Linked DNA regions of Drosophila melanogaster. The protein of the gene in region 2 interacts with the protein of the main gene of each other region in a pairwise test. Each region holds a gene or a part of one and is shown on either strand. Other genes may lie near its edges.

Region 1 (3,754 bases), on a different chromosome or scaffold from region 2:
CGGCCACTGCTGCTCTAGTCTTCTTCGAGGACGAGGAGCTGGAGGAGCTACTACTGGGGGCAGGAGCAGTTGCGATTGCTGCTATTGCCGCAGCAGCAGTTGCATTTGCAGGAGCGTTGGTTGCAGGCAGTGCTGGGCTGGGCGCCGAGGCCACGGCGGCACGGAACTTGGCGGCACTTCCAGCTCCGGTGTTGGTTACCGATGCGGGATTGGCAATGACCGTGGTACTCCCACCGCCACCGCCACTGCTGCCACTCCCACCGCCTCCGGTGCTGATGTTCGTTGTTGTTGTGGTGGTTGTGCTGCTGCTGGCCGTGGGCGGTGTGGGCGTGGCCGAGGACTGACTGCTACTAGTTCCAGACATCTTGGCAGTGTTATTGGTGTTGTTGTTGTTGTTAACTTTCAATCGGCTATTGCTGGGTAAAGGTGTGTTGGTTAAAACGCCTGATGACTCCGTCGTCGTCAGTGGCTCATTCTTGGCCGTCAGAATCTTCCGCCCGCTGTTTTTCAATAGAGCGGCGGCTATCGATTGTCTGGCGGCAGCGATTCGGGGTAAATTATGATTCAACTGTCTGTTGGGGTTTTGATTGGTGTTGTTATTGTTATTATTGGATCCAGAGCCAGAGCCTGTGTTATTCTTGCTGGTTGCTGGTGCTTTCGGTTGATTGGTTGTGGTTTGTTGGTTAAAATACGCTGTGGAGCGCACATTCAAGTCATCGCTTTCATGGTTTTTCGCATCATTATTCATTTTACTCTCTCGCTGGAGGTTCTGTGTTGTTGGGGTTATTCTTTTTGATTTACTTTCAATTCGCGCGTCCTTTCGGGTATCAAAAGAAGTAAAGGTATAGAAATTAAAATGTTTAGTTTGGGTAAACAGATGTCACGTCCCAAATAAATTTCACTACAAGTGAATTTAACAACTTTGTTGATGTGTTTTTCAAAGGTGTGTAGGGTCACGGCGGTGACGGCGGCGGCACAGAAACACATCAACAAAAATAGGTTCTTGGGTTATATTGATTTTTGGATATTGTGAAGAATTGGTTTATATATATGCGATGGGCAAAGAAACTAACACACACATTCGCACGCACACACACACACACACACGTAAGCACATGAGCCAGCGAGGTGGCAACTCTGCGCATTCTTTCACTGTGCCTTTGCACACTCGTTCGTACATCGTTCGTTCGCATTTAATTCTCCCATTCCATTCCATTTCCCCTGTCCACTGATTCACATTTTTACACCGAAAATGATTCAGGTGCAAGACGAAACAAAAAAATTGCACTAGATCACTTAATTTCCCCACGTTTCGTATCGCCAATTTCGTTTATTCACGGATACAAGACCAATCGATGCGCAATTAGGACTCGGGGCAACGTGCTTCACTATTTATATAATCGCAGAGGGGAGACGCCGCCGAAACGACCAATCGATTGTTGCACTTCGCAAGTTTACTAACATTCGAGAACTTGGAATTGCAATACTTTATTTATAAAACTTTTCGCAGCAGTTTCGACTTCGCCCGAACGAACGAAGAAAAAATCACTTTTCGACTTTGGCGTATGCGTTTCTCGCTTGGTCGATAGCCTCGTCTCTCTCCCGCACACGCGATGCCCTGACGCGGCCAGTCGGACCGCTGTCACCATCCCGCTCACACGCGCAGACGAAGCCAGAAAATAGCTGAGCGACTGAGGGAAAATTTTTTTGCCACTATTCCGATGTCGATTTTCACCAATTAAGTGACGTTTGCTGGACAAAAAACTAGCACAATTCACGCCCCAACCGATGCCCAACAATTTGGTAATATTTGCGCGTATTACCGTTTAAAATTTTTAGCAAATTAATCAATTTTTCAGCAGTGTTAAATTCTCTGTCTATCGTCAGAGTTTCGGATCGCCATATTATTCCCGGATATTGAAAGAAAAGGTAGGACCATACTGCGGCTCGCGATATAAATTCACATCGATATTTCTCCCTTCACTTTTGTTTCCGGCAGGGTGATATTTTTGAATAGTCTGGCTGTGGTCCCATTAGTTTTGAATTTGTTTACTAACTTCTCTCTTGTTATATATGAGAGAGTTCATAATATGGAGATATTTTTAATCTTCTTTAAGAATCTTGCAAATTAGAAATTGTTTGATTTTGATTTTGCGGTTACATACACGACTTTGCCATGTTTCGGTTTTTAATATAAAACAAATTTTCTCTGCTGCAAGTGTGCCCATGTAGGAAAAATTGTGCAATGCTTAAATTATTAATTATTATTCGAATAGTTTTTGAAATGATGACCTGATATTTACGATTACGACTATAGAAATGATTTAACGCGAAATATTTTGATTTTTAACCATCAAAAGGAAATCGGGTTATTCGCGTTGTTCTTTCGGGCCGAACCGGGAAAGTCATCGATAGTATCGCGTTCATCCGATTATCGTCCCAGCTCTAATTTTTTTCCAAACTAACAACACGACGTGTCATTTGCCGGAATCGCAGGAATAAAACGATATTAAAATGCACACGGTGTTAACCCGAGGAAACGCCACGGTGGCATACACGCTGAGCGTTCTAGCTTGCCTCACCTTCAGCTGCTTCCTGTCCACCGTCTTTCTTGACTACCGTACCGATGCAAACATCAACACGGTCAGAGTGCTGGTGAAGAATGTCCCGGATTACGGAGCGTCCCGGGAGAAGCACGACTTGGGCTTCGTGACCTTCGATCTGCAAACGAATCTCACAGGCATCTTCAACTGGAACGTGAAGCAGCTGTTCCTGTATCTCACCGCCGAGTACCAGACACCGGCCAATCAACTCAACCAGGTGGTACTGTGGGACAAGATTATCCTGCGCGGCGACAATGCCGTATTGGACTTCAAGAACATGAACACCAAGTACTACTTCTGGGACGACGGGAATGGCCTGAAGGACAACCGCAACGTATCGCTATACCTCTCGTGGAACATCATTCCGAACGCGGGACTCCTTCCCTCCGTTCAGGCCACTGGAAAGCACCTGTTCAAGTTCCCGGCCGACTATGCCACCTCGTCCATTTAGAGCTTAGGGCTAATGCTAAATACAGCTGGTTCCGCCCGGGTTCCCTAGCTTGTAGTGTCTATCTAATAAAACCCCAAATAAAATATCTTTGTAAAGATTTCGAACTGTATCCCAAACGAAAGAAACTTAAGAGAAATTCGTTGAAAATAATTTATTTTTGGTCCATTTTTATAATGACAATTTTATCTATAGCTTTCTATAGTAATTAACCAGCGAGTGACTGCAGAGCGCCAGCACTTAGTTTTCGGTCTTTCGTCTCAAATCTGGGTTTGGCAGTCGAACTAGGGTTCAACACTGCAGCTGAGGTGTTAAGGGATAGAGCTACAACCAAAATAGCAATAAAGAACTGTGCGAAAATTTTAAAAAATATTAGATTTTGGAACGCAGATATGATTAGTACCAACACACCAATTTTACTGAGGCCATGTTGATATCCGCTAAAGAAATCGAAAACTATACTAAAAATGTGTAAAAGATCTCCAATATATATATGACTGGTATTCAAGGCCGCATCGAATGGGTTCGTTTCAAAATTTAAAACTGAATCAAATTCGTTAACATTTTTTACAAGGCTTACGCAATGAAAAAGACTAATTGACCTTTGAAAATGTAATCCTTAAGACGAAGATGATGAACCCAACATATGAAAATACTTATTCGATCAATTCACAACTAATACGAAAAGGAAAGGATTTTGCAT
Region 2 (3,754 bases):
TTACTTGTTGTGAAACTCGGCGATTTGCAGGAAATTGCAGAATATGATATCCTTGTTGTCCCGCACGGAGCGCGGCACCACCGGCTTGTCGATGCCCTTGATGTACTTCTCCACCACGTGGAGCAGATCCCTGGAGAACTCCTCCTCAGTTTCCACCAGCTCCCTGAGAATGGTTCTACAACGGCCATTACAACTAGTATCTATCTGTCCAACTGGATGGAGTGAGTTGAAGTCCTTACAGTTTCCTAAACTCCGCATCGCCGCTCTCCTTGCCATTCGAACTGCTCATGGTGGGATTGAACTCTAGTATATCGATGGGCACCCAGCCTTCCTTGGGGGAGTCCCCGCTATCGAACATTCGCACAAAGCATCTGGAAAACTCACTGCACTAGAGTACCATACCACTTCTCGATGAACTCAATCGCTCACCTTGACTTTTCGGATGCCTTCGAACTTATCAGTTCGACCAGATCCCCGCGAGAAACGCTGATCTCGTCCGTGGCCAGCGACTGAGCCTGGTAGTCCCGACTCACAAACACGATATCCGCCACCTGCTGGGTAGAACCGATATCTTAAGTACGAACTTTCTTTTCTATAGCTACTCTCTTGGTTCACACACACATTTCTATCACCCATTTCGATACTTCAACACAAAAATATATGTACATATATCCCAAATAGATCGTTATAGATCTGTGAGTTTTTTTAGGGTTTATGCAATTGGTGCGATATCGATTTGATCTTTTGACGCGTTCGACTTCGCTATTTCACAAACAAAAGTGGCTGAGCAATATTTAGCCCGCTAGCTGAAAGTCTATTTTGCGTTGACATAGACACGCGGGCTCGGCTATTTATTCCGATGTCCAATTTTACTGAGTGCAAAGCTTGTGCAGCCGAATCAGCTGATCCCCCGATTTGTTCCCTCGAACAGGGCTCTTCACTTCGGGCCAATGATCCGAGACCACAGTGGAACCACAGTGGAACCACAAGATGGATCCTAACCCACTTCGCGTCAGAGGTGGCTTTCACTTTCGAGAGGAAAATATCTGTGCACCGAGTATAAGATACTATTAGGGTCCTTCGGTTTTAAGGTCACTAGTATCATCATCTTGAAGCACTCAAACTAAACTAAATAAAATTGCACTTTTATTCGTCACTAGCTGGTTAACCAGTTTACATTCACATTTTGCAGTTGGAAAAAACCATTGACTAAGTGCTATTTCCTAGCAAGGACGTCCACTGTAGCTTTTGCTCACACAATGTATGTACATATGTACATCTGGTTTGCCCAGAAGTATTAATAAGTAAATTTGGCACATGTTCATAGAGACCGATCTATAGTGTATTTTCCGGACACGCATAACTTACGGCATCCATTCCGGCTGATTTGAATATTAAGACTTTGTATCACTCGATTAACTCGACTTCACACACTTGATTAACTCACGCACATTGGCACGAATTCGAAAATGTATTGCATAACTTATTACTGGGGCGATTTCGTTTCGAATTTTCAATGCACTGGATTTGCACTGGATTTAAGGCATTATCGGCATTAGCCCAGTATCGAAAACTACGAAGACTAGTCTACGGGGCACTCTCGAGTTCGCTTGTCATAACTGAAAAAGTCGAGGAATTTTCCGCCTTTCCGCGGGCCAGGCCGATTCAAAAGTGGAATAGATTTAAATTTAAACTGCGGTCGCGTGAGAAATATTGGCTACTGCGTGCGGATACCAATGATTCTAACTGCATCCCGACAACTGTACGACTGATCGATATTCGCCGATCACAACAAAAGCTCCCCTCGAACATCGTTTCACAATTTAAAAATAATGCCCATGCCCATGCACCTCGCACTCGCCATCCGCATCCCCATCAGTATCTGCAAATGCATTTGCATTTGCATCTGCATTTGCATCTGCATCTGCATCTGCATGTGCATAGCCATGTGCTTAGATGCCGAACAGAGCGGACGGTCTGAAAGTTTATGGCTGTCAGAGGAGTGCATATAGATTTCGGCACCCAGAGTGCGCCAGCATACATATTTAATTAAGTATTATAATATATGCGCGGGCACGAAGTTATTTATACGATCCCATACGTTATTCGCAATGTTTATGGTCAGAAATATTGGCTTGTTTAATTAATTTGCAACTGCACTTCCTCCTGTCACCTGTCAGCAATGTAATCATAAATAAGAGGAAATTGGCCTACAAAGTTGAGATTAGTCACCAATTAGACCAACACAAACGGGTAGTTAGTAGTAACACCTCCTTCAACTGAGTATTTATGCCAATGCTAGACTAGAGCTTTCCCTTTAGGAGCTTTGTTACTTGTTAGAAGCATCTTAATCTATTCTAGACTTTTTAGATTACTACTAGCCCGCTAAGCCTAAAACTAGGCAATCCGAATGAAACATTCACACAGCTTCTAGGGACTAATGGGTTTAATAGTAGTTATAGATAATAAGTTATGGTAATCAGTGCACTCAGTGGTAGCCAACAGTTTCCCTGGGCAGAAAGACGCAGGCTATGGAGGCCAGCAGGCCCACGATTGCGTACGTGGACATGGCCTGAATTCTGGACGAGTCCATCAGCACCTGCGCCACGAAAGGGGTCAGCATGGCGCCGAGTCTGGCCAGCACGGAACAGCCCGAAACTCCGACGGATCTCAAGGCAGCTGGGTATATTTCCGGAGTGTACACATAAATGGCCTGGAAGATGCCGGATATCGTGCCGCGTGCAATGAAGAGGGTTACGGAAGTGGAGAAGCGACTAGGATTGGAGGAGGATTGGATTGATTATCAGATGATCAATTGAGTGTGCACCACTACTACCTTTCCACCGACATCAGCACCAGAGTGCACAGAACCAGCGCCAGGTACTGCAGAACAATGGTTTTCTTCTTGCCAAACAGCTTGACCACCTTGATGGTCAGCAGTATTCCAGGAAACTCGGACAGGGTGATCCACAGCAGGTCCATAAAGTCGGAGGTCATGAAGGTGACGCACTCATTGGGATGGCTCTCCTTGTTCCTGGCCACCAGCAGCTCGGTCGTGACCAGCACCAGGCCGTAGTAGCAAAAGGCCGAGGCCAGCCAGAGGAACCACAACAGGATGGTGGTCCTGTACAGGCTCGGGCTGAGCAGGGATCTAAAGCTCTCCGCGCAACTGGGCTCGTCGTCGGCCATCAGCCGACCCATCAGCATGTGGCGCTTGTTGTTGTGAGCTATCTACAATCGTAGGTTTTTAGACGTATAATCACTCCATAAAGTTACCACTCACCTGTTCCAGAACCTTGATGGCCTTATCATTGTGACCGTTGTAAGAGTAATAGCGAGCCGATTCACTGAGCCACTGTAGTGATTTAAAGATACATTTGATTAAGGATATTTCTGAAGAGAGCGAGGAATACGAACCGGCGATAGGATGGTAAAAATGAGTAGGGGTGTAGCCGAAAGGGCCAAGAGACCTCGCCATCCGTAATAGGGATACACAACCAGTGCTAGGACCACTTCAAAGCAAGCTCCCAAGGCCCAGAAGCACTGAAACCAGTACAATATATTCAATAAATACGTTTAGCACACGGTGGCACGTACTCACGTCCATCAATACGACGCACTTTCCCTTGTGCTTGGTGGGCAGAAACTCAGCGTACAAGGTAACTCTTTTGGGTTAAAGAAAGTTTTAGGTGGAGAGGTACCTCCTAGTCCATGGAATTACTCACGACTGTGGAACGCAGCCGATGGCGAAGCC

What was found. Proteins that work in one complex are often made in the same cells at the same time.
Region 1: the proteins of Obsc (region 2) and mask interact in a two-hybrid assay, tested with the Drosophila melanogaster proteins (one study listed by BioGRID).

The regions. Positions count from the first base shown.
Region 1 is NT_033777.3:24,228,718-24,232,471, reverse strand, and holds the start of mask (multiple ankyrin repeats single KH domain), read right to left. Parts: upstream 1,911-3,754; 5' UTR 1,824-1,910; intron 1,804-1,823; exon of another isoform or gene 1,514-1,803; intron 1,449-1,513; exon of another isoform or gene 818-1,448; 5' UTR 749-817; coding exon 1-748. Other genes in the region: Spase22-23 (spase 22/23-subunit), read left to right, coding at 2,515-3,054; Acp95EF (accessory gland protein 95EF), read right to left, coding at 3,260-3,400, 3,463-3,480. UniProt on the Drosophila melanogaster protein: Mediator of receptor tyrosine kinase (RTK) signaling, and may act either downstream of MAPK or transduce signaling through a parallel branch of the RTK pathway.
Region 2 is NT_033778.4:24,012,485-24,016,238, forward strand, and holds the start of Obsc (obscurin), read right to left. Parts: upstream 1,771-3,754; 5' UTR 1,378-1,770; coding exon 1,369-1,377; intron 555-1,368; coding exon of another isoform or gene 552-554; coding exon 430-551; intron 372-429; coding exon 240-371; intron 176-239; coding exon 5-175; intron 1-4. Other genes in the region: CG4324 (uncharacterized protein), read right to left, coding at 2,489-2,774, 2,837-3,231, 3,284-3,355, 3,418-3,543, 3,602-3,665, 3,726-3,754. UniProt on the Drosophila melanogaster protein: Structural component of the muscle M line which is involved in assembly and organization of sarcomere.